Linked DNA regions of Sus scrofa. The protein of the gene in region 2 purifies or fractionates together with the protein of the main gene of each other region. This does not show direct contact. Links are inferred from orthologs where the notes say so. Each region holds a gene or a part of one and is shown on either strand. Other genes may lie near its edges. The genes, in order: CDK19, MED19, RPAP2, MED9, MED12L, CDK8 and POLR2F.

Evidence for each region.
Region 1: the proteins of MED19 (region 2) and CDK19 purify together in Homo sapiens (affinity purification with mass spectrometry; 7 studies listed by BioGRID and IntAct, counting the BioPlex papers as one, with this or other methods). This does not show direct contact. The link is inferred for Sus scrofa from reciprocal best matches to the Homo sapiens genes MED19 and CDK19.
Region 3: the proteins of MED19 (region 2) and RPAP2 purify together in Homo sapiens (affinity purification with mass spectrometry; 3 studies listed by BioGRID and IntAct, with this or other methods). This does not show direct contact. The link is inferred for Sus scrofa from reciprocal best matches to the Homo sapiens genes MED19 and RPAP2.
Region 4: the proteins of MED19 (region 2) and MED9 purify together in Homo sapiens (affinity purification with mass spectrometry; 6 studies listed by BioGRID and IntAct, counting the BioPlex papers as one, with this or other methods). This does not show direct contact. The link is inferred for Sus scrofa from reciprocal best matches to the Homo sapiens genes MED19 and MED9.
Region 5: the proteins of MED19 (region 2) and MED12L purify together in Homo sapiens (affinity purification with mass spectrometry; 3 studies listed by BioGRID and IntAct, counting the BioPlex papers as one, with this or other methods). This does not show direct contact. The link is inferred for Sus scrofa from reciprocal best matches to the Homo sapiens genes MED19 and MED12L.
Region 6: the proteins of MED19 (region 2) and CDK8 purify together in Homo sapiens (affinity purification with mass spectrometry; 8 studies listed by BioGRID and IntAct, counting the BioPlex papers as one, with this or other methods). This does not show direct contact. The link is inferred for Sus scrofa from reciprocal best matches to the Homo sapiens genes MED19 and CDK8.
Region 7: the proteins of MED19 (region 2) and POLR2F purify together in Homo sapiens (affinity purification with mass spectrometry; 3 studies listed by BioGRID and IntAct, with this or other methods). This does not show direct contact. The link is inferred for Sus scrofa from reciprocal best matches to the Homo sapiens genes MED19 and POLR2F.

The regions. Positions count from the first base shown.
Region 1 is NC_010443.5:76,594,477-76,597,976, reverse strand, and holds part of CDK19 (cyclin-dependent kinase 19), read left to right. Parts: intron 1-529; coding exon 530-796; intron 797-3,500.
Region 2 is NC_010444.4:13,247,811-13,251,310, forward strand, and holds the end of MED19 (mediator of RNA polymerase II transcription subunit 19), read left to right. Parts: coding exon 1-72; intron 73-238; coding exon 239-335; intron 336-1,156; coding exon 1,157-1,251; intron 1,252-1,349; coding exon 1,350-1,418; 3' UTR 1,419-3,011; downstream 3,012-3,500. UniProt on the Homo sapiens protein: Component of the Mediator complex, a coactivator involved in the regulated transcription of nearly all RNA polymerase II-dependent genes.
Region 3 is NC_010446.5:124,739,415-124,742,914, reverse strand, and holds part of RPAP2 (putative RNA polymerase II subunit B1 CTD phosphatase RPAP2), read left to right. Parts: intron 1-1,096; coding exon 1,097-2,033; intron 2,034-3,500.
Region 4 is NC_010454.4:60,931,200-60,935,154, reverse strand, and holds the start of MED9 (mediator of RNA polymerase II transcription subunit 9), read left to right. Parts: upstream 1-1,155; 5' UTR 1,156-1,256; coding exon 1,257-1,477; intron 1,478-3,955.
Region 5 is NC_010455.5:91,565,088-91,568,587, reverse strand, and holds part of MED12L (mediator of RNA polymerase II transcription subunit 12-like protein), read right to left. Parts: coding exon 3,402-3,500; intron 1,453-3,401; coding exon 1,341-1,452; intron 1-1,340. UniProt on the Homo sapiens protein: May be a component of the Mediator complex, a coactivator involved in the regulated transcription of nearly all RNA polymerase II-dependent genes.
Region 6 is NC_010453.5:4,155,442-4,158,721, reverse strand, and holds part of CDK8 (cyclin-dependent kinase 8), read right to left. Parts: intron 1,927-3,280; coding exon 1,829-1,926; intron 767-1,828; coding exon 688-766; intron 564-687; coding exon 405-563; intron 1-404.
Region 7 is NC_010447.5:9,907,722-9,911,221, forward strand, and holds part of POLR2F (DNA-directed RNA polymerases I, II, and III subunit RPABC2), read right to left. Parts: intron 2,924-3,500; coding exon 2,793-2,923; intron 1-2,792. UniProt on the Homo sapiens protein: DNA-dependent RNA polymerase catalyzes the transcription of DNA into RNA using the four ribonucleoside triphosphates as substrates.

The DNA.
Region 1 (3,500 bases), on a different chromosome or scaffold from region 2:
AACCTGTGCCTCCCCAGCAACCTGAGCCACTGCAGTCGGATTCTTAACTCGTTGTGCCACAGTGGGAACTCCCATTCTCTGGTTCTTAATTTTTGCCTTTTTTGTTTGTTTTGTTCGGTGTCATTACCATCACTTTACGCAGGCTGCTTTTAAAGCATCATTCAGTCCTTTGATCGTAACTGACTTCACTCCACACAGCCCTACTTTTCCAAATTGATTGAAAAGACTATTCTAGCTATTTTAATGAGTTGCTGTCTATTTCCTCTGTCCCCGTGGGCCTTCAGTGGGATATCTGTGACTGGTTTGGAGGATTACTATGCAATCTAAATGAACTTTAGAGAATGAGTCCTGTTCAGGGCTCAGCACTTTGACTTTGGAGGATGCTGTATTCCTTGGCCGCTCCATTCTCTGGTCGGTCCAGTCACTATAGTGTCCCACAGAGATCACTCCCCAGTTGCTCATCATATCATATAATGGTAGAGTTAATTTAGTTCCATACCAAGCTTACTTTTTTTTTCCTCTTTATAAGAATCAGCAACAGCAGCAGAACCAACATCAGCAGCCCACAGCCCCTCCACAGCAGGCAGCAGCCCCCCCACAGGCACCCCCACAGCAGCAGAACAGCACCCAGACCAACGGGACGGCAGGAGGGGCTGGGGCCGGGGCCGGGGGTGCCGGGGCAGGGCTGCAGCACAGTCAGGACTCCGGCCTTAATCAGGTGCCTCCAAACAAGAAACCGCGGCTAGGGCCTTCAGGCACAAACTCAGGCGGGCCTGTTATGCCGTCAGATTATCAGGTACCTCCCCAGATTTTATACTCTTTAATGTTCATACTGTTAAAAAGGAAAATTCAACTGAGTAAATTTTAAAGGTCTTATTGGCTTTATTCAGTGATTCATGTATCAGGCAGTATCTCGTCTAGCAAATAGAAAGACTCTCTGAAGAGCCGTAGAAAATGGAAGACTCTTAGAAGCAGAAGGAGGTGGGACAAGGAAGTTATTCTAACAAAGGGCTGATTGTTTTTTTCCTTTGGGGGACTATGGGGCCTGTCAGGTGTATTACTTCACTAGTGCTGACCAGGAAATTGCAGACTAACTGGATATGATTACATTCCTGGGGGAGGCTGAAACTGCAGTCAGGTTAGGAATTAAGTCTCAGTTTGGTGCCGTGGGCTTAGCACAAGTGACTCCATTTGGAGCCTCATGTCTCTTTTTTTAACAATATCTTTTATGAAACAGGAAGTCGGTTTATAATAGATCATTTTAAAATTTACCAGCAAATTAACTCTAAAGTTTGACTATATAAACTGTATAATCCTGTTTCTAGGGCATTATATGAAAATGAAGATTTTTGTCATTTTATGTAATTTTAAGAATTATAGTTTTGTTTCTTGACTTGTTTGTCCTAAAGCTCTGAGGAGGGAAGGTGAGGCAGTCATTTCCTCCTGAAAGAAAATCTCTCATTTCACACTTGCAGGTGCCTTTCAGGTTTGGGTCAGAAAAAGATACTTAGATAAGCAATTGAAAAGGGGAAGGAATGGTGGTTTATTGTGAATGAGGTAAGCAGTGTACTTCAGAAGGATGTGCTGTCACTGAGGAAATAAGCAGTACGTGCCACTGAAATATAGAAGAGAAAGGGACTGAGATTGAGACTTCTCAGGAATAACTGCTAAATCTCACTAGAAATAATTTTGATACTAGAAAATACTTTTTGTTGGAGTTCCCAATGTGGCTCAGCGGAAGCAAATCTGATTGGCATCCATGAGACGAAGGTTCCATCCCTGGCCTCACTCAGTGGGTTAAGGATCCGGCATTGCTGAGAGCTGTGGTGTAGGTGGCAGACGCGGCTCAGATCCCTCATTGCTGTGACTGTGGTGTAGGCCAGCGGCTCCAGCTCCGATTCGACCCCTAGCCTGGGAATCTCCATATGCCGTGGGTGCGGCCCTAAAAAGCAAAAAAGAAAATACTTTTTCTTAAGATTAAAAAGAAAACTATAGTTGTACTACTAATGCAGGAAATATAAAAAGAAACAAAATCTAAGGATTGGTATTTGGAGAGAGGGGTAAGAATACTGGTGAAAACTATAGAGAATCTTGGGGAAAAAGCTTTCAAGGTAATAGCAAGTTAAGAAAAGATCTAAGACGAAGGGGGAATAAAACCAAAGATTAAAAAAAAAAAAAAGAAGGTTTAAAACTATAGTCCCTCAGGGAACTGGTGGAGGAGGAGCACTTAGGAGAGAGATAATAGGAAACAAAACCACAGGCAAGGGAGACATAAACTCACTGATTAGGAACTGGAATCAAGAGAAGCAGTACCAAGAAAGACATAATAAATAGCTGTCTAAATGGGCTTTACATTCTGAATATCTTAACACACTAATGTGTTTTTGTACAACTACTTTGGAAACTTCTCCTGGAAGAGTCTTTGCGAGCAGAGGAGGATATAACAGCACTTTCATTGGTTCCAATTAAACTAATCAAGGCATCAGTTTTGATCTACTAAAACAGCTTGCTATTTGTGTAATAATCATGAACATGTTTGAAGTTTACTCTAAACTCGGGTTCCCCCTAACAGTAGTTTATTCCTATTATATGAGCCACAAACCTTTACTATATACTGGCTCATCTTTGTGCGTCTGATTGTGTTATAGTCACTTGATTACAGTTAATTGTGGACAGGTTACTTAACTACTTTATTTATTCCTTTCAAATCCAAGAGTTCTTCAAATGCTTTCCTTTGTCCATACTGAGTTGTCTACTTAAAAATAAAACAGCATGTCTCTGAAATGAGTAGCTAGGTCAGCTAGTTAATTGGAGAGACTAGCAATGAGGGGGTGAGAGTCCCATTGCACCTGTTGGTGACTCTCATTATTGACGTGCTTGCTCTTTATCCAGTATGGAGGAGCTCGCGTGCTGAGTCTAATCTGCTAAAGTCAAAGCAGTTGTAGCCAGCCTGGCAATTGTAGGCCTTGTAAATGGAAAGAACATTTTTTTTCATAATAAAATAAAATGCAGTTAGGATTTGTTATAATTATTTTTGTAATAGTTATTTCCCCAATACAGTTTTTTTTTTTCTGCTGTGCATCATGGTGACCCAGTTACACATACATGCATACATTCTATTTTCTCACATTATCATGCTCCATCATAAGTGACTAGACATAGTTCCCAGTGCTACACAGCAGGATCTCCTTCCTAATCCATTCCAGTGGCAATAGTTTGCATCTATTAACCCCAAGCTCCCAATCCATCCCACTCCCTCCCCCTGCCAGTTAGGATTTGGAAAGACTTCTTACAACAGTACAACTAAGGAGAGTTATATTATGTAGGAAGGAGTTAAACAGAATTATTTTTAGCCAGGACTATCTTATTGCTCTGTTTTCTTGGACCATCTGTTGCAAGTCCGATTTGGCTGCCTTTTGCGTACTGAGTGGGACAGCCTTGCTGATTTGTCCTTCCTTAAACCGCCAGTGCCACCTCAAGGTCATTTACATTTTTAACTC
Region 2 (3,500 bases):
CCTATTCTTGGTGGCTCTTTTAATCCTATCACAGGGACCATGCTGGCTGGTTTTCGCCTCCACACTGGCCCGGTAAGTCCCTTCTTGGGGAGGAAGAAGGCAAGTGGGTAGGCCTGAAAGCCTTGGAGGTGGTTTTTCTGCTCACATCTGTTCCTTCCTAAGTTACTGAGCAGAGCAGATGATGCAAGTAGGGGATTTCCTCCCTCTGCTAACCCAGACCGTCCTTTGGTTCCTTCAGTTGCCAGAACAGTGTCGTCTGATGCATATTCAGCCTCCCAAGAAGAAGAATAAGCACAAGCACAAACAGAGCCGTACCCAAGATCCTGTCCCCCCAGGTAAGAAGCAGTTCTCTTCAAAGCCAGAGAACCAGATGTTCTGAATTTGGTTGAATCTTCCTCAGTTAAAAACCCAGTTAAGTTCCTTATGGGCTGAGGACTCCCAAATTCTCCTTTTTAATTAATTAATTTTTACTTATGGCTGTGCCCGTGGCATATGGAAATTCCTAGGCCAGGGATTGAATCCAAGGCACAGCTGTGACCCATACTGCAGCTGGGGCAACCCCAGGTCCTTTAACCAACTGCGCCAGGCTAGGGATCCAAACCAAACCTCTGCAATGACCTGAGCAGCTGCAGTGATTCTTTTTTATTGTTTTCTTCTACAGTATTTTTTTGTCCTTTTTCGGACTGCACCTGCGGCATGTGGACGTTCCCAGGCTGAATCAGAGCTATAGCTGCCAGCCCACAGCACAGCCACAGCAATGCCAGATCCTAGCTGCATCTTTGACCTGTACCACAGCTCACAGCAACGCCAGAACCTTAACCCACTGAGTTAAGGGGCCAGGGATCAAGCTCTCATCTTCATGGATACTAGTTGAGTTTGTAACTGCTACACCACCAGGGGAACTCCGCTGCAGTGATTCCTAACCCAGTGTACCACAGTGGGAACTCCATGAATTCTCCTTGAAGCAGTTGACATAATGGGGTCTTTTGGCCAGATAGGAATTTGGGGCACGGGTTTAAGCGGTGCCTCTGAATCCTTTCTGGTCATTTGAAGAAAAGCCGCCCCCCTTGACTAGGGGTTTTCCTCTAGACTTCAGAGTTCTAGCAGTGGAAGATTTTGACCTCTACAGGTGACAGATGCCTCATATCTCCTACAGAAACACCATCTGATTCAGATCACAAGAAAAAGAAAAAGAAAAAAGAAGAGGATCCTGAACGGAAAAGGAAGAAGAAAGAGAAGAAGAAAAAGAAGGTATAGTAGCGGTCTGTGGCTGCAGCCCAGTGAGTCTCCCCAGGTCACCCCTGTCCTAGGTAGCCTCTTATTTTCTTACTCCTCCTTGTCTTCCCCAGAACCGACACAGTCCAGACCACCCAGGTATGGGCAGCTCTCAAGCCAGCAGCAGCAGCAGCCTCCGCTAACAGAACCAGTATATTCTGCCAGAATGACTTTCCTGCTGACAAAAGCTGCCTTCCGGGCTCATGGTCACTGCCCTGGGAGCACCCCCCCGCCCCACAGCTGGGACAGAAGCCAGCTCCTGCTGTGCTCAGTTAAGATGAACACTTTGTAAGAGAGAAGGGCCATGCTTTTTAAAGCCTCAGCCCAGTTTGCTTTCTCATGGACATTTTTTCCTCTCCTGGGAAGCTTTCTTTTCATCTCTTTTGTGCCATTTGTCTGATTTAGGACTTTATCTGATTTGTTAGGATTTTTATTTTCTTAAAATTGCATTTCTCAAACTGGCTGAAGTGTGGCTGCCTGTTAAGAGGTAAGTGCCTTTCTTCGAGAGTCAGGGTTTAGGCCAAGGCATGCTAAGATCTGAGGGGATTGGGGTCTTGTATTCCATTATCTCATCAGCAGGCAGGGAAACAACCAAAATGAGATTGGGGAACATGGTCCAAAAGTGAAGCAGAGTTTGCTAATACCTTTCCACAGCAGACACATAATTCTGCCCATAATGCTGAGAACCAAGTACCTGGATGATTTTTAGGCTCTGTCTGAAGGAACTGATTTAGGGTTTTAGCCGATTTAATTAGGGTTCAGCTCTATTCTAGGTCAATTTTGTATTATCAACAAGGTTGCTTTTTAGTAAAGCCTATGATTGAATCCGAGCCACAGCTGTAACCTACACAGCAGGATTCTTAACCCATTGTGCCATAGTGGGAACTCCAGCCTATGATTTTTTTGATCATATGATCATGGCAACACCAGATCCTTAACCCACTAAGCGAGGCCAGGGATTGAACCCGAGTCCTCACAGATACTAGTCAGATTTGTTTCTGCTGAGCCACAACGGGAACTCCCAGACTATTTTTTGAAATAAACCTCTGGCAAGCAGAGATACATGCTTCTAAGAACTTTTGACCTGTTTCATTCCATAAGACAAATGAAATCATTTGGCTGATGTGAAAACATTTCTAAGCTTCCAAGACACCAACAAAAAGGCAGCCTTAACTAGTAAAATGTCAAATAAATCCCTTCAGTCTTTGCAGCAGGCCAGGTAACTGGAAAAAAACATCCATGAGATAATCCAAGCTAATGTAGTTGGACTTGAAGTTCATTTTGAAACAGAATAGTTAAAATCTGTTGCTATGGGCCAAGGTTCCTAGGTTGCCAGATGGAAAACTACTCATTCAGCTCATTTTAACCTAGGATTTCAGAGCAAGGACAGCGAGAGGGTTCTGGCCAGTTTTCTGAGATTTCATGTCTGAGGATGCCTATTTAAAATAAGGGCACAGCCTTTTGCTTTTGACAAAGAAACAATATGAGATGTCAGATTAAGTGCCACCATATACCCCTCTGGTCTGTCTGCCTTTAAAAGGCTTTCATACTGTGATGATCCACTGGCTCGCCTTTGGCTACATCCAAAATGAGCTCTCTTTTCCAGAGACAAAATTCTGTATTAAAGAACTGTGGCAAAAATCAAGAGCTCTCTAAGTTTTGAAGTAAGAAGTTTTGGTGGTTACAAAGATTTTTTTTTCTGAAATCTTTAATTAAATCACTGAATTAAAACAGGATCTCTTGTTTTAAGTGGTTATTTTCACTGCTGTCCTGCCTAAAGGTGGGCCAGGACCAGAGAAACTTAGGAGGTTTTCTGTGTAATTTCCCATTAGAGATCATCCACCCTGCCCTAACCACACAAAATAACACAAGTCAGGGGGAGCTGGTTAGATCAGGATTTCTTTTTATTCCTTGTTGGTTTAAAATGGCTAATCAGAATAAAAAATAAAAGGGCCTCTGTCCAGAGGCTGGGGTCTCCCCTATTTAGAGGTTAGAACCCAGGTATCCCCTCTACCCAGCACCATACTGAGGTGGGCTGAGGGGTAACCCCCAAGGGACAATCGGAGGGGCCTAGGCCTGCCACTCCTTCTCTCTTATCCCCAGTTTTTGGCATATGATGAGAAATATTGCTTTTTGGATTCTTATCTCCCAGCCTGGGTTTTAAAAATGATATCAACCATGTTGGTTGGCGGGGGGATGGGGGGGGAGTTTGAGGGGCCAGTTGA
Region 3 (3,500 bases), on a different chromosome or scaffold from region 2:
AGGAGCAAAAAAAAGAATTGGGGAATGCTTAAAACATCATTTTATTTTTGTCTTTCAAAATCTAAGCAGAGTTCCTTTTTTTTTTTTTTTTTTTTTTTGAGAAACCAATAATGAAGTTTCCAAAAGAAAAATTTTTCGGCCACGCCCATAGCCTGTGGAAATTCCCACACCAGGGATTGAACTTGAGCCACAGCAGTGACAATGCTGAATCCTTAACCACTAGGTCACCAGGGAACTCTCAAAAGAAATTTTTTTTAAAAAAGGGATTATAGGAGCTCCTGTTGTGGTGCGGTGGAAATGAATCCAACTAGGAACCACGGGGTTGCAGGTTCTATCCCTGGCCTTGCTCAGTTGGGTTAAGAATCTGGTGTTGCTGTGGCTGTAGCTCCGATTGGACCCTAGCCTGGGAACCTCCACATGCCTCGGGGTGGCCCTAAAAAGCCAAAAAAAAAGGGATTATGTAATATAATTACAGAAATGAAGGAAGCAAAAATCTAATTTAGTAGGATGAAATTATCAAGCGTAGGGTTTTGTATTTGTGTGGTTTAGGGATTTGGGGAGGTGTTTTTTTTTTTTTTTTTTTTTTTTCATCTTTTGTCTACAGAGCTAGAGCCGCCAGCCTACACCACAGCCACAGCAATGCAGGATCCGAGCCGTCTGCCACCTACACCACAGCTCATGGCAATGCCAGATCCTTAACCCACTGAGCGAGACCAAGGATCAAACCCGCAACCTCATGGTTCCTAGTTGGATTCATTTCCATTGAGCCACAATGGAAACTCCGGGTTTTGGGGGGTTTTTTTTTTTTTTTTTGCTATACTCTTAACGTTTTTAAATAATGGGGGAGAAAAGATAAGGGAAGAAGATGGAAGAACTATATACAGTTAATAAGACATAGAGAAATTCTAGAATTACAGCTTTTTTCTGCAGTGTGTGTGTGTGCGCGTGTGTATCTACAGGCTTAGGTGAATATAAGCCTATAAATAAGGCCTTGCCTAAGGAATACAAATCTCTGCCTTGAAAGTTATGAGGTATAAATACCATGGAACGTTTTGTTTTTCTGTTATAGTGGTTTTTGTTTCTTTCCTTACAACAGTGGTCATTCTGGAGAAGAAATACAGTTATCCAGTAAGGCCATTAAGACATCAGATATTGACAATCCTGACTGTTCGGAGAAGCACAATGAATCTGGTTCTTCCAGCACTCCCAGTGATAGTGGCAGTGATAATGAACCAGACTTTGTTTCCTCCATTCTGCCAGGCAGCAGGCCAACTGCAGCAGGTATAATGCCACAGCTGCACAAAAAAAGCATAATGAGAAAGAAAGCTGATCAAAAAGTGAACTCCAACCATGAAAGTGAAGAGCGGATAGTAATAGATGCCACGGAGCAGTTAGGTCATTGCAGATTAGAGAATCAGGAGAAAGCTTCTGCTTGTGAACCTCCCTTACAGGAGTTAAATACTCAGATTTCTTCACATAGTCCTTCGCAAGAAAAATTAGAAGCTTCAGAAATTTCTGAAAGTAAGTGCAGTAGTTCAAAAATAACTCTTGTAGGCATAAGTAAGAAAAGTGCTGAGCATTTTAAGAGGAAATTTGCCAAATCAAGTCAGGTTTCTAGGTCAGCTTCTAGTTCAGCGCAGGTGTCCTCTGAAGTTGGAAAGGCAAACTTACTTAAAGCCCTGAAGGAGACCTTGGTTGAGTGGAAGACAGAAGAAACCTTGAAGTTTTTGTATGGCCAGAATTATGCTTCTGTATGTCTGAAGCCTGCTTCAGCACCTCTGGTTAAAGAAGAAGAACTTGATGAAGATGACGTAACCTCTGACCCAGAGAGTCGTTCCCCTGCCCTGCAGGAATCTCCGAACAGCCTGGATGAGTCTTTACCGTTTAGAGCCTCAGATACAGCCAGTAAACCATTGCCAAGTTATGAGAACTTGAAAAAAGAAACTGAAACATTAAATCTAAGGATCAGGGAGTTTTATAGAGGACGATATGTTTTGAATGAAGAAACCACCAAATCACAAGACTCAGAAGAGGTATGTCTTTTTTATTTAAAAAAATTTTTTTTAATTTTTTTTTCTTTTTGCAGCCACACCTTCAGTATGCGGATGCTCCTGGGCTAGGGGTCGAATCAGAACAGCAGCTGCTGGCCTACGCCACAGCCGCAGCCGCAGTAACTGCGGATCCGAGCCACATCTGTGACCTCCGCCACAGCTTGCGGCAATGCTGGGTCTTTAACCCAGTGAGTGAGGCCAGGGTTCGAACCTGCATCCTGATGGATACTATTTAAAGTTTGCCCCAGAAAATTTTCATAAATATTTAACATTTTCTCTAACGTAGAAGAAGCCTAGAATTGGGGAATTGTCTTTTTTTTTTTTTTTTTTTTTTTTTTTTTGTCTTTTTGCTATTTCTTGGGCCGCTCCCATGGCATATGGAGGTTCCCAGGCTAGGGGTCTAATCAGAACTGTAGCTGCCAGCCTACGCCGGAGCCGCAGCAACGCAACGCAGGATCCGAGCCTCGTCTGCAACCACCACAGCTCATGGCAACGCCAGATGGTTAACCCACTGAGCAAGAGCAGGGATCGAACCCACAACCTCATGGTTCCTAGTCGGATTCGTTAACCACAGCACCACGACGGGAACTCCAGGAACAAAGTTTTCTTTAAAACCCAGTTCTTCGTGTAATATCTGTACTCTCTGAAAAGGCTTGTTTTTTGTTGTTGTTGTTGGTATGGATACTTTTGAATTTGTACATAGGGTGTATATCTTCGTGTTTCATTTCCAGTAGGACTGTATGCAGTGGAGTAGACTTAGTAGTTAAACAGTAAAATATTTGGATAATATTTGGCAAGCGTGCCCATTTAAAATATTATTTATGAATAGAATTTAGTAGACGAGACATATTGGGGAAATACTGGACATGGGAGAAGATTCAGGTAAACCTGGATTTGAATATCTGCTCTGCCACTCCCTAGCTATGTGAAACCTTAGTCTCATTGCTTATGTGTAAAGGGGATTATAAATGGCTTCCCTTGCTCAATTGTTAGGCGTTTTAAAGGTAGTGAATAGAAGGCAGTTACCACAGTGCCTCACATATAATTGCTACTAGTTACATGTAAACAGTTACATGTGGAAATGGACCTATGCCACTGAGCGCTAGGGAGGTTCCTTCACTATTTCCATTACCCATTTTTGGTTGGTTATGTAGTTTGGGAAATGAAGTCATCTGGCATAAAGAGGAATAGGTGATAATCTTGTTTTTACCACAGGAGTTTGTTGTGAAAGATTTCTGAGTAAAAATAGCTCTAAATTTAAGAACACCTTTGGAGATTTAAAAAAAGGATGAAAGTAGAAATACAGTAAAAATTTAGAAATTCTTCTGTTTCTGTAGAATGTTACCTAACCTAGCTCTATATTTGAAATCACTTTAGCTGTATAAATAGCATCCATAACTTTAATATGAATCTTGGAGAAACAATAATCTCTGTCACTCAGCTTCATAA
Region 4 (3,955 bases), on a different chromosome or scaffold from region 2:
AGTGCCTCTGGTCCTCCTTCCGGTTCTCCACCAGGACCCTGGCACTTCCTTTGGGCGGAGAGGCCCCTGGGCAGCAGTCCTCACCTCCCCCTCCATGCGCTCCCTCAGGGGTTCTCTGGGTAGTTCTTACAAGAAAGCAGTGTTGAGGCCCAAAGCACCCACTCCAAGCCTCCCCAGGACTTGCCTTCACAGACCCCTCTGGATGCATCTAGAAATATTTGCAGTGACGTTTTCCTTAGGACGGCCGCCTTGCTCTTCAATGCTGCTTCTCATCTTGGCACCTGACTGCAGTCTCCTTGTGTCTCTAAAGCTCTGAGGAAGGGCAGGGCTTCCACTCACCAGCGAAGCTCAGAACGTGTGTTCTCATCGCCCAGGAATTTATTACACAGCCAGGGAGGACTTGTCTTGAGGAGCATAACCACAAACCCACCAGAGTTCCCCTGGCTTTGGCCTGAGATCCCAGGGAGTGAGTGCCCCTGCAAACGCGAGCTTGGAGGCCGGCCACGTGTGGGAAGGTGGGAAGCAGTTTAGGCTCCTGAACTATATAAGGCTTTTGGGGTGAGGACGCTGAGCCCTGGAGGCTTAAGGAGCTGGGGCCCACAGGTGAGGAGAGTACGTGCCGCTGACTTCTCCTAGGACATGTTTATTCCTGGCACTAACCCCCTTCAGCCTCGTGTGGAAGTTGGGACAACTCCCACCCCTCCCCGCAGGCAGTACAGCAGTCATGGAGAAGATGCATATTAAGTATTGACTTAGTTCGTCGCAGCTTCTTTGTTCCTGCGTCCTTAGGGCGGGCGCAGGGCCTCTCCCCTGAAGGCCTCTGCGCGGGTGGGAACCGTGGGTCCCTCCGCCGGGATTCTCTCCACGCCCGCTGGCCCAGGGCCTGACCCCAGCAGGTGCTGGGCAGGGGCCTCCGCTCTTCAAGAGGCCTTATTTATCTCAAGTCTTCCGCACTTGTTGATTTTGGATCCTCTTTGTAACGCGAATAGGAATAAAATGTTATTTCTGACATATATCTATTTCTATTAACAATTTAGCTGCCTCAACGCACAACCCAAAGCAGGGCACCCTAGCCCGGCCGGCCGCCCGTTGCCTAGTAACGGACGCCCAGGCCCCGCCCCGCGTCCCCGGGCGCGCGCTCCCAGCCTCCCTCTGGGTCCCGCCCCGCGGCGCACGGTGGTGACGTGCAGAGTCCGCGACGCGTTCGGCGCGCTGAGCCGCGGCCCAGCCGACCCGCCGCGGAAACGCGGGGCGCCATGGCTTCAGTGGGGGTGCCCGCCGGCCGGCAGGCCGAGGATGCCCTGCCGCCGCCAACCGAGCCGCCGATGCCCGAAACGAAACCGCTGCCGACGCCGCAGCTGCCGACGCCGGTCTCCGCGCCGCAGCCGCAGCCCGCGCCGAGGCCTCCGTCCCCGGCCGTCGTGAAGGCGGAGGAGAACTGCTCCTTCCTCCCGCTGGTTCACAACGTCATCAAGTGGTAAGAGCCCGGGGTGCCCGCGAGTGCGCCCCCGCTGTCCGTCGCGGGCCGAGCTCCGGGGCGCCGCCGGTCCCGGGGAGGCGGCCTCGCGAAGACCACCGCGAGCCTCCCCCCGAGTTGAGCGGACGCTGAGCTCAGGGCTGCCAGGCCCCGTGCTGGCCGGGCGGAGTCCTCGAAACGAAGCCGACCTGGACACCACGTGCACAGGTGCAGCGTCCCTGTGGCCGGAGCCAGCCAGGCTTCTCGGGGCTGTTTTCTCACACGTAATGAAGGACAGAACGCTCGCTTCGGTGTCTTTTCCAGCAGATGTGGGTCATGTTTCGCGGGTGGCACACTGCTAAGCGCCAGGGGATGTACACTTGAAAGGGCATACGGTTCACGCCCACGTTGCTCACCAGTTAGAAGGAACAGAGTCGTGAACGGGAATAACCCATAACGCGAAGAGATTCTAGGGGTGATGATAAGGCCATGGCAGGGAATGGCCGCTAGACAGCCCGTCGCACTCACAGTTCCCAACAGGATGCCGCAGGGGTGATGTCTCCTTTAGGCCGGTCTTCAGGGGACCCGGTTTTTCAGACTGACCCTTAAAGAGGGGGGAAAACCCCACCAAAATCGCCAGGGTCCCCACATTTGCCCAAATGGTTTTTACTGTTATTTATGTCCCCATGGTAACAAGGTGTAAACCCCTCAGCTTATCACGTCTGTTTAGCCATTAAAACCCAAAACAAAGCAAATTAAAACAATGTTCCTTCTGCTCTAACACTCAGGTGGACCTCAGCATCCTCTTGGATGTTTTGCTGAAATGAAATTGCCGCTCACAACAGTGAAGTGTTGTCAGTGGCCCAGCTTGTTTTGAGTTTAGGTGGAAGAGAGTCACTGCCTGGGACGCTCTGACGCTTCCACCACTTTTCAGACAACTGCAAAGCCTTTTTTTTTCTCACATTAGAACTTGGCTTCGTTTGGTGTGAACATACTGTTTATCTGGTGAGGCCGACTCTTCTCGTGAGCCTGTGATCAGCAAGTAGCACTCGTAGGCAGCAGTGACATAGGAAACCCAACCCACCTGCACGCCCTGCAGTCCCAGGGCGGTGCTGGGTTGGAAGGGCGTTGTCCAGATGAACCCAGATTTATCTGTTCTGGTTTTTGGAAAATTAAAACACACAGTGTACACACTCTGGCATCCTGATAGGACCCTCGGGTTGGGCTGGCCTTAAAGACGGATCCTTGAGGTGCACTAGAGAGAGCATGGGCTGCGAGGTGAGATGGTCTCTCTCTCTTTTTTTTTTTTCTTTTTAGGGCCACACCCGTGGCATATGGAGGTTCCCAGGCTAGGTGTCCAATCGGAGTTACAGCCGCCGGCCTACACCACAGCCACAGCAACTCAGGATCTGCGCCGCATCTGTAACCTACACCGCAGCTCACGGCACAGATCCTTAACCCACTGAGCGAGGCCAGTGGGTTTCTCGTCGGATTCGTTTCCGCTGTGCCACGGTGGGAACTCCGAGATGAGATAGTCTTAATGCTTGCTTGCCTTGTAATCTTGGTAAATACAGAGCCTTTCTAGGCCGTAATTTTTCGTGTCGCTAAGAGGTGAATAATAGCAATGAACCTCAGAGGAGGGCTTCCGAGGTAGCTTTGTAGTGTGCTGGTGGGGCGGCCTCGGTCAAACGGCCTCTCTGAATCTTTTTCTCTCGTGAACCGGGAGCAATAACACCGAAATCGTAAGGTTGTTGTGGGGTGTTCTCAAGAACATTCTGTGAAAGACATTGTGTCCGTCCCGTGTGTGACCTGCTCTGTCCCCTCTGAGTGGACAGTGAGGAGTGTCTTTTAAGCGTAAAACTGAAAAGGACACGAGAGGGGATGATTGCCGTAGGGGGGGGCCGGGGGCTAGTCCACCTCCCAGCCCGAGGAAGCGGCCGGGAGCAGCTGCCTCTGGCCGCGGCCCCTTCCGGATCTCAGGAGGCGGCAGGGCCAAGGGCCTCCGGTGAGAGGTGATTGAGGGTGACGGGACTGAGGATGGGAGGGCTGCTTGGACGGCTGTTTAGGAGCGGATCCCCTGAGTCCTCTCGAGACCCCAGGCCCACAGGTGGTCCCCCTTCTGTCTCGGTGGATAATTAAAGGCTCACACTTTCCCAAGGTTTGTTTTTAGGAAAGAATAATGCACAGGGTCTCTGGAGGGGGGACACTTGCCCATTTCGGGAGCTGGAGGGAGAGGCCAACCTAAGAAGAGCGCTTGAGAGCAAGTCCTCAGACAGACCCGAGACCCAGCCCCGGCTTCTAGATTGACAGGCTGTCTGACCTGACACCCCAGAGACGTGGGGGCTCCCCAGGAAAGAAGCTGGTTCATCCTGAGAAGGCGGTACATCACTCACGCAGTGTCCGCTCAGCCTTTTCACTTAAAAAAAATATATGTTCCCCAGTATTTATTTATGGCCTGCTTTTTACTAATGGAGCATAAAGTAATTGTATCTTCTCTCG
Region 5 (3,500 bases), on a different chromosome or scaffold from region 2:
AATCTTGTCAAAAGATAGGGATGCACCTCCCCCAAGGCAGGTAAACGGGGAAAGGTAGTTAGCAAAATGCACAAAGTATCATGGAGCTGACATTCTGGTATCAGGCAAATAAAAATAAGTGGAACAAGCGGCATGAACCAGGGGACAGACAATGACTGGTCCTACTTTTAGAGCATGAGGGAGTGGGATGGCGCACCTAGGGAAGTGACATCTGAGCAGAGACCTGAGGAAGTGAAGGAGCTGCCCTGGGAGGGGAGAAAAGATTCTAAGACTCTGCAGTGAGAATTTGCTTGGCAAGTTCATGGAACAGCAACATGGCCACTGTGAAAAGAGTAGAATGAGCAGACCCATGACTGCCAGGAAACCAGGTAGAGGTTGGAGCTGGTGCCAAATTGTGGAGGGGCTTATAGGCTCAGACTGGGAATTATTATTCTAGGAATAGTAAGAAACACTGCAGCATTTGGAGCACTGGAAAAATTTGTGATTTACACTTAAAAACAATCATTCTGCCTACTATATAGAGAATAGATTTCACATATCCAGAAGGTAGCAGATGACAAGAGATCCCCAAGAAGTTAAGTATCTTGTTCGTGTTCATCCAGAACTGTTCAAGGAAAAGACACTGTGTCACTGAAATCATAGTCCCACATAGACTCCATTAGGCTCTACAGCTGGATAAAACATGCCAGATGACCAATCTATCCACTCTGCTCCATTCTATACTTTCAAATTCCAATTTGATCACTCAGTTTCCTTGTGGTACACAGAATACCTGTGCTCTAAATCGTAATCAGAACTGTGGATGGTGCAAAGGCAAAATTCAAAAAGTCTTTGAAAATGAACCAGAATGGCTTCTGATTCATAAATGAGTATCTTGTACACTTGACCAGCAACAGTCTGGCTCTAGCAGTAAAATTAAGATGAGTTTCTGAACTTACAGAGCTCACTCTGAGACCCTTCCTGATAAGTGGAAGCCCAACGGAGGACCTGGCAAGAGGTCCTTTTGTCTTACTGCCAGGCCTCCTTCAATATTGATTCCTCTAGGACCTTTCCCAGGAGGCAGGGGCAGGAGAGGAGCAACAACTTTGTAACAAAGTTATGTGCAATATGCAGAATGTTACTTGTATACAGACATTTATCCAACACATAATTAATATTATACTGCTATTCATCTCATGGTGATAAGAACACAGGTAGGAGAACAGGGTGGGAATTGTTTTCCTGCATCTAAGCAAAACACATTGCACTCTTATGAGTTTAATGTCAGTTTGTTTGAAAGGAAAACAAATGAATGCCATTAGAACCATACTTGCCTGGCTTAGTATTCTACTGCACTTTACCTGGTTAACTTGATTCTGCAGCGATGTTAGGAGGCCTTCTCGTTGTTCATCCTGTCCCTTCAGGCAGGTAAGGACCAGTGAGAGGAATGGTTGTTGACTCAAAAGAGACATACTACGAAGGAAGTAATAACAGGAGATCTAGTTAGAAAGAATGGATTACTTTCTGTGCAACACTTATTTCTTGCCCTCGCGTTATCGGCTCTTATTTATTTTACTATTAGAAAAGGGAGGGGAGTAGTAAATAGCCAAGACTACTTGAAAAGTTAAATCATATCTCTAACTAATAAGATTAAAAAGCCACTGTAATGCTTCTAGATTTAATATGTTTTCTTGCCCTGAAAGGCATTTCCAAATTAGCATAAATTCATACCACATATGAGTGCGTATGGGGGGAGGGGGAACAAGAAGAAGAGACTTTGCAGTTTCTATCAGTAAACTGAATTAAAAGATACACATCAGGAGGAATATCACTTCATACACAGAAAAATGAAAAAATTTTAAATTTCTGTCACTTAGTATTACTATTTTAGGGTCCAGGAAATAGGCCTTATATGATTTCTGTGCTTATTTATTTATTTATTTATTTATAGCACATTTCTCAAGACCAAATAGCTGGGTATTGGTAGAGCTAAAATTAGCATCTACTCCTCCAAGGAGGACTCCAAACCAGTATGCTTGCTAGTGATCCCCAGTACTCTGCCACATCCCACAGGCTTAACGTGTAAAGGAGTTTAAAGACATTTGGGGGGAAAAACTCCATTTTAAATTGGCATTTTAGCATTTTTTTCTTCCATGATCAGGAACAACTGACAAATCATGCTGATAAACTAATTTTGCTACACTGGAAAAGAAAATTCCTTAAAATGAGATGGAGGTCATAATGTTTCAATCTGCTTCATCTTACACCAGCATAGCCAAGAGAGATTAGCTTGGGAAGAGCCATCTTTAAACTCTGCAATTCCATCTGCTCTCCCTGCAGGAAGTGAGGCGAAGTACATGCCATCGCCCATTAGCAGATAAACTTTGAGAATTAAAACTGTGTCACTTCACTGGTTAACAAATATGGGCAAAGATGACAGAACAACCAGATACCAAACAACATACACACAAAGCTATGTCAAATAACAAAATGTACTTTAGTTAAGAGCACAGACTCAGAGGCCAGACCACCTGGGTTTCAATCCCAACTTTACACCTCTTTAGCTATGTGTCCTTGAGAAATTTACTTAACCTTTCAGTGCCTCAGTTTCTTTACCTATAAAAAGGATATAATGAGAGCATCTACCACAATACGATTGCTGTGAGATTTTAAAAGTTCACATATGCATATAATGAGTTTGGTACATAGGTTGACATTTTATAAGGGATCATTAAATGGCAACTACTGAAATACTATTAATTAGGTGACAAGAAATCTGTATGATCGGAATTTTTGTTTTTTAACATTAGAAATTTCTTCTCACTCCTGGTGTGCTAAATTTAACATGCTTTCACATTAGAGCATATTTTTGTTCTTTCTCAGTAACATGGTCAGTTTTCCAAAATAATTATATGAAACATTTTCTAGGGCATAAAATTTTAAAAAAAATTTTTGACTTGGAGGCTTATAAGTTAATGTGTGTGTAGTCTAGAACAAGAGCCCTAAATGTTAAAAATATTAGTAACTATTTCAGGGTCCAGCATGATAGAATTATAAATAATTGCATGAATTTTAAACCTAAGTACCTAAATAATAAGAAAAAAAAAAAAAAAAACAACCTGTTGAATACAGGATGAAGTGGATATCCAAAGCTGATTCAGTAGGTCTGAAGTGGGGCTAAAAAGCCTTTAACAGCACAGCAGTGATTAGGGTACAGAGGCAGAAGGGAGAGCTAGTGTACTGAGTATTATAATGCGAAATCTTTTAGGAAACAGAGCTTTGCCTAATAGAATATTTTCAATTTCATATAAAGATGAAATTTCAGTAGACTCTGGGTACAACAAGGATGTATATCTGTAGGATACTGGATTCTCTCAACTGTTCTTTAAACACTCACATAGAAACACCTATAGCAGCCATACCTTTTCTGTTTTTGTCTGTCTCTCTCCTTTTTGGAAGAAGAACCCAAGTGCTGTCCCTTCTCCAGCTCCTCCCCAGCAGCTTTCAACACTCTTCCCTGC
Region 6 (3,280 bases), on a different chromosome or scaffold from region 2:
CGCGGGAGCCGAGGGCCCCAGCCTCCCACTCAAGGCTGCCCACAGGCCTAACCGCGTCCCTAGCTGCCGTGGTTTCAGACGACAGACGGCACTTCCTGGGCACCTCCTGGACGCTGGGCGCTGAGGCCCACCCGCCCCCACGTGGCTTCCCGCGGCTCGTGCTCCGGAGGAGACGCCAAAGCCAGGCCCTGTCTAGGACCTGACCGAGGCCACCGGGTTAACAGGGGCGCCGTTCGGTCCGACCGTTCCACGCCTGGCTAAGCCTCCTCGACAGAACCGCCTGGCGCTTTGCAGGCCAGCAACCCCCCAGGCCAACGTCTCCCGAGCAGCAGAGGCTGGCGCTGTGCTCCTGCCGCCGCGGCCCCGGGGCCACCACCCCCATGCAGGGCTGCGGGCGGCCGTACCTGATAGTCTGAGGTCATGATGAGTCCGCCTGAGGTAGTGGTAGGAGGAACAACCCGCACTTTCTTCAACGGGGGGCCCTGCGTGTGGCTGCTGTCCTGGTTCCCGGGGTGGCCAGTCCCATTAGTGTGGTTATTGCCCTGCTGCTGCTGCTGGTTCTTCTCAATTTGGTGAAACGGAAAGAGAGAGAGCAACTCAGAGGGGAGCAAACCGCGGCCGCGGCCGCAGAAGGCAGGCGGCACCCCAGCAGAAACGCACGAAGCCGCCCCGCACCCTGACACTTACTTTGTCTCCTTTGTCCTCGGGCTCTTCCTCCGTTAAAAACTCTCTTTTAGGGTACGGGATCTGACAACCGGCAAAAACGCTGACCCAGGAAAGAGAAGAGACAACAACGATTTCCGGCGCGCTGATCAGCGTCTCAAACGCGCTTTCACCGTTCAGACAGCCTCCGCCTCCCTGCCGGTGCAGCCGCGAGGCAGTGCGTGTCTTCTCCCAACCAGTGACTGAACAAAAGCACCGGCACCCCCAGGCACCATCCAAAGGGCCTCGGCTCTCCTTTATGTCGGCACTGCTCCTTCAGCACCACAACCAAGGCAGAGATCGCAGCTGGAATGTCATGACTCAACAAAACTGCATTCTACCCTCCAGACTGCATCCAAAATGCACGAAATGGGAGATCCCACCGTGGCTCGGTGGTTAACCACCCCGACTAGGATCCATGAGGACACGGGTTCAATCCCCGGCCTCGCTCAGTGGGTTAAGGATCTGGCGTTGCTGTGAGCTGTGGTGTAGGTTGCAGATGTGGCTCGGATCCCATGTTGCTGTGGCTGTGGTGCAGGCTGGCAGCTACAGCTCCGACTGGACCCCTAGCCTGGGAACTTCCGTATGCTGCAGGTGCGGCCCTAGAAAAGGCAAAAAGACGGAAAAAAAAAAAAAAAAAAAGAAGGAATGTATGGGGACCACACACTTCTTTGGGGTGGGGCTTGCAACTGGGACACAGAACTAAGTGCAAGCAGTGCGCCGGCTCAGAGCCCCAGGGAGTGCCAGTGCGTGGGAGCAGCCCGCCCTCGACTACCGCCGCCACCGGCCGCGGGCAGCAAGCAGGGCAGCAGCGTCTCTCCGCTGTAAAAGCCTGACGGCTCTCAGTCACCAGCTCGTTTTCTGCTTGTCATAAGGATTTCTTTGAGTCCCCGAACAAGAGCAGCAGCAACCTGGCATTGACAGCTAAAAAAAAGCACGCACCAAGAGCTAGCTCCCTGGCGGCACAGTGGGCTGAGGATGCAGTGCCCGCGCTGCTGTGGCATGGGTTTGAGCCTGGGCCCAGGAATTTTCATATGCCACAGAAGTGGCTTTAAAAAAGAAAAAAAAAAAAAGCACGCACCAAAAAATTCTATTGTGCTGGTGAGTTAATAAACTGATCACTTACTCTGATGTAGGAAGTGGGTCTTCTAAGAAATAGGGATCCTGCATAGCCTGTTCTGAGGTAATTCGCTTTATTGGGTCCATGGTAAGCAATTTCTGAAGCTGAAACCATAAATCATAAAAACATCACTGCATTACTTCTCAAAGTTTTACCTTTTGGCACATTTGTGGGAGGTACACGGTTTTTGATCAATAACACCACAGTTCAGAGGGTTTCATTCCCCCCAGTTAAAAACTAAAAACCTTTCAATTTCATGTAGTCATTCACACGAGTCATTTTAATAATCATCAGCTCACCCGGTTCTCCTATAAGAAGTAACTAAACATACGTCTTCTTACTCTCAACCAAGACCTTTTTCCTACACCATCTGAACTGCCACGTCCAATTTAGAACAGGACCAAAATGCCTGTGTTTTCTACTAAGGGGAAAACATTATACCCCAAAGAATAAACTAGCTACATGTGGCTATTTAGAGTTAAAACCAAATTAATTAAAACCAAGTTAAATTTAAAAAGTCAATTTTTCAGAGTTCCCATGTGGCGCAGTGGAAACAAACCCAACTAGTAGCCATAAGGACACAGGTTCAATCCCTGGCCTTGCTCAGTGGGTGAAGGATCCGGCGTTGCCGTGAGCTGTGGTGTAGGTCGCAGACGCAGCTCGGATCCCGAGATGATGTGGCTGTGGTGGAGGCCGGCGGCTACAGCTCTTATTCAACCCCTAGCCTGGGAACTTCCATAAGCCGCAGTTGTGGCCCTAGAAAAAAATTTTTTTCTTAATTAAAAAAAAAAAAAAAAAGTCAATTTCTCAGTCATATCAGGTGTATTTCCAGAGCTCAGCGGCTACCCTCCCAACAGCACGGCTCTCAGACAGCCATCTCTGGCACTGCCGCCCGGGGCTATGTAAACACGGCACCCGGTACAGAACCTGTGCAGCAAGGCCAGGTGCTATCGGCGGGGACTCTGCAGAGACGCTGCTTGGCCTCAAATCCTGACCTGACATTTATGAGTCGGGTGACTGTGAACAAATTACTTAAGCCCTCTGTAACCCCATTTGCCAAATGGAGCTTAGAAACAGTACCTTTTATCATGTTTCTTTTCAGAATGACGAAAAGCAATTACAGTGGTGCCAGGCGTGGGGAACGCGCTCTCTAGGTGTTGGTATTATTACTGTTGTTGTAATGAGATACCGAAAGGTGAAACTAATGTCAAAATTCAGCACTTTTTCGTTGAAATATGAGGGACTGAGGATTCTAGGAACGAGAGCCTTTAACGTGTGACTTAAGAGGCCCTCTAACAGGTGCGCCCTCAGCCCACCACCTCTGGCCTAACACGCAGCACTTTCAGACTTGAAGCACATCGGAGGCGTCCCCGGAGCACTTCCTAGTGACTCCGGAGCTGCTGAGCAGCACATCTGGGCAGGAGCCAAGCACCTGCACTTGCAGCGTTGCCCAGGTGA
Region 7 (3,500 bases), on a different chromosome or scaffold from region 2:
CAGACCCTCTGAACAGACTCTAAAATAACCTTCCAATTTCGTTACTAAATATTTTGATGTCTGTTACTCCCAAAGCTTGAATACATCCCGAGGGCAGAGAGCGAGTGTTTAACTTTCCCTGTATCCTCTCTCAGCAAGTATACAAACTTCCCCCAAATTTAAAGCTTTCAAGTATGTGGCAAAATGCTTTCCCTTATCTGCTCATGCCTTATTTTTTTCAAGACACAAATAATTCACGAGCATTGACTTATTCAGCCCGACTCCCTGCGTGGCAGCGTGAGAGCAAATGCCCTCAGGGAAGCTGTCTCTCATCCAGCCGCCAGGTGGTGCTCATGAACGGGAGTCAGACTTCACCCAAACCCTATCCCAGAAACGTTTGTTCAGCATCTACTAAGTGCAGACGGCAGGCCCAGTACTGGAGATAAGCTCCAGCTCCGGATGTCCAAGGGCTTACAGCAGCCAGGGAACCATCAGAGAGCATCCTGGCCCTTCATGGGAAGGAGCACTACAGACCCAAATAAGCTGGGCCGAGCTGGGCCTTGCTCCCCAAGAAAAGCAGGAGGCTGGGACTTGACAGTGTCCTGAACGCCTGCCTCCCGATTTTCAAGTGCTCCACATTGTCCAATAACACACGCCCATCTGCTGAACTTGTCACTCACAGCACCAGTGACATCTTTTCCAGCCTTGTGCCCCAAGCTACTGCCATTCCCCCACCACAATCCACACGTGGCAGCCTCCACGTGGAATTTTCCGGGTGCTATTTCTGGCACCTGGGATACTGCCAATCCCACTTCACTCTAATCCAATCTCTTCATGATGCTTCCCTAGTCACCCCTGCCATTACTCCCTGTCTCCTTTTCTGTTTCTTTTCTAAAGCACCAATTCCCATCAGTCCTGGGTCTGGGTACTTGGAGCAGGTCCATCTCCCCATTCAGACTGTAAGCACCTGGCAGACAGGGGGGACTGTGTCTTTTTTTTTTTTTTTTTTTTGCTTTTTAGGGCCGCACCTGCGGCACATGGAGGTTCCCAGGCGAGGGGTCGAATTGGAGCTACAGCTGCCAGCCTACGCCACAGCCACAGCAACGCCAGATCCTTAACCCACTGAGCGAGGCCAAGGATCGAACCCGAAACCTCATGGTTCCTAGGCAGGTTCGTTTCCACTGCGCCACAATGGGAACTCCATGGAGGAGGACTATGTCTTTAATCATTTCTGCAGCCCCAACAGGTGCAAGCACACTATCTTATTCAATGTTGAAAGACTTTAACTTGCAAACAGTCTGTCTGTTTGAAAAATAATCTGCGAACTGTTCTTCCTGCCAGGTCATGGTTAGCAGACGTGAGCACTGCCCAATCACCGCTCTGCAATGATGGAAAGGTCCTCTCTACGCACTACCCCTTACAGTAGCCACAGGGGGCTGCTGGGCACAGGAAATGTGGCTATCGAGACCACCCAAACACTGAGCTTCTATGTAGTTTTACTTAATTCAAAGGTAAATGGCAGACGTAGCCCACGGCGACCATAACCAGTGGTGCGGGCCTAGAGGGTCCTGAACCCAGCAAAACTAAAATCAGCATGCAGCAGAGTGCAGCTCTAACTTCACCCAGAGCAGCAAGGAGGGCCACCGGGCTGGCAGGGGACCTGCTCCTGCCCAGTGGGCGAGGAACAGCACGGCCCACCAGGAAACCCTCATGGTGGTCACCTTCATGCCACAGGACCCGAGTGTCTGAACAGCTGGGGCGGGATGTGCGGACCGAGCATCACCGCTCCTCCAGCACGGGCGGCTCCACACTTCCGGCCCCGGCCCTCCCTTGGAGCCTCTCTCCACTACTCCCTCCTCGAAGCACCCCCTCCTCTAGGTACCCACCATTTCCCACAGCAGCTTGTGAGAAGTTGGGGTACAGCTCCTTCCCTCGGCCTCACATTTCCCCGAGGAGGACCTTCCACGAGAGCAGCAGTGACAGGCCTGCCCCCTCTCTGTCCTCCCCCTTGCTCCTTGCCAGGATGGAGGAGAACTCATCTGACGGGGAGCCTGCGGAGAAAAGCAGGCATCCCTGACCCGGTCTCTTGGAGGGGCCCTGCTTCCTCAAGGCCGCCTGCCTGCAGAGAGGGCACTTTCGGATCTGCTCTCCACGATGCCATGACCTGAACAGGCAGGCTCACCCCTGCAGACACGGCCTCGGGATGCCTGTATCGCCTGTGGCTGGCGGGATGGACACGCAAGCACCACACATTTTGCTCCCCAGCTGTCTATGCGCTGTCTCCCAAGGCCTGTTATTCTTCACCTGGTTTCAAGCTCGGGAGAGGTTTCAAACCCCCAAACCTCCACTGCGACTCTGTGCTTTCACCTCCCTAGCACGGCCTCCACACGAGGGGAGGGCTCTCCCACTCCTCTGGGCCGACCAGAGGCCACGCCGGTCGAAAACCACCTTAGGCCCAGGGGCTGCTGCTGCAGCTCCCCAACTAACCAGCCCACAATGGTCTGCGGCTGACTTTATTTATATTTGCACCCCTAACGGACAGGCAATCATCAAGTGCTGTGTTCTTACGGCTCTCCTTCCACTGCACTGTTATTTGACGTCTCAGATGTTTCTGTCCTACTGCTCCACTGGATCACAAACTCCCGGAGGCCGGGGTCCAGCACAGTGCCCGGCACGCAGGGACAGCACCCCCTGGCTGAGCCTGTGAGAGGAGGGAGGGTCTGTTTTCAGGTGCCAGGCTGGACCGCATCAACAGCTCGGAGGCCCCCCATGGCCTGACCCACAGAAAAGATGGTTTAGAGGTGCACACTCACGCGATCTGAAGGGCTCGGGTGCCCAGCACGCGGGCTCGCTCGTACTTGGTCATATACGGCGTGGTGATTCGCTTCTGGTTGGCCTGCGGCCGCTCTCCAGAAGGGAGGATCTCAACGTTCTCCTGGCCCTCCTGGACACCAAGGCAGAAAAGAGGGACAGTCTCAGAATGCGTCACTGGGGTGAAGGGAGGAGGACAACGACAATGATGACAACGTGCATCACACCACTGCTGGTTACGCACAGCGACCATGCAACTGCCTTAACAGCGCCTCATTTCATCCTCACAATAACCTCAGGAGGTGGCGTCACAGTGCCCATTTGAGAGGCTGGAGAGTGAGCTAACTTGGCCAAAGTCTCAGGCCTAGTGCAAGAGAGGAATCCCGATCGGGATTCCAAAGCCAGCTCCCTCATCCGGAAGAGAGTCGGCCCATACACAGAAGTCCTTGAGCACAGACAACAAACCACCCTAAGCACGAAGGGAACACGCACCCTGTCTTTCTACCTTCCTATATTTAACCATCAAGCATCTGTCACGTGCCAGACACCATAACAGGTACTGAGACAGAAAGCTACAAGTCTGTGCTCTCAAAGAATTCGGTGTGCAGAAAAGATGAAAGTACACAAACTCCAAGGGCTATAAAAGGTGGAAGTGTGACACGGACCTAACAAGAAGGTGAGGGCCGACCACCTCACACTGGGGGTTGGGA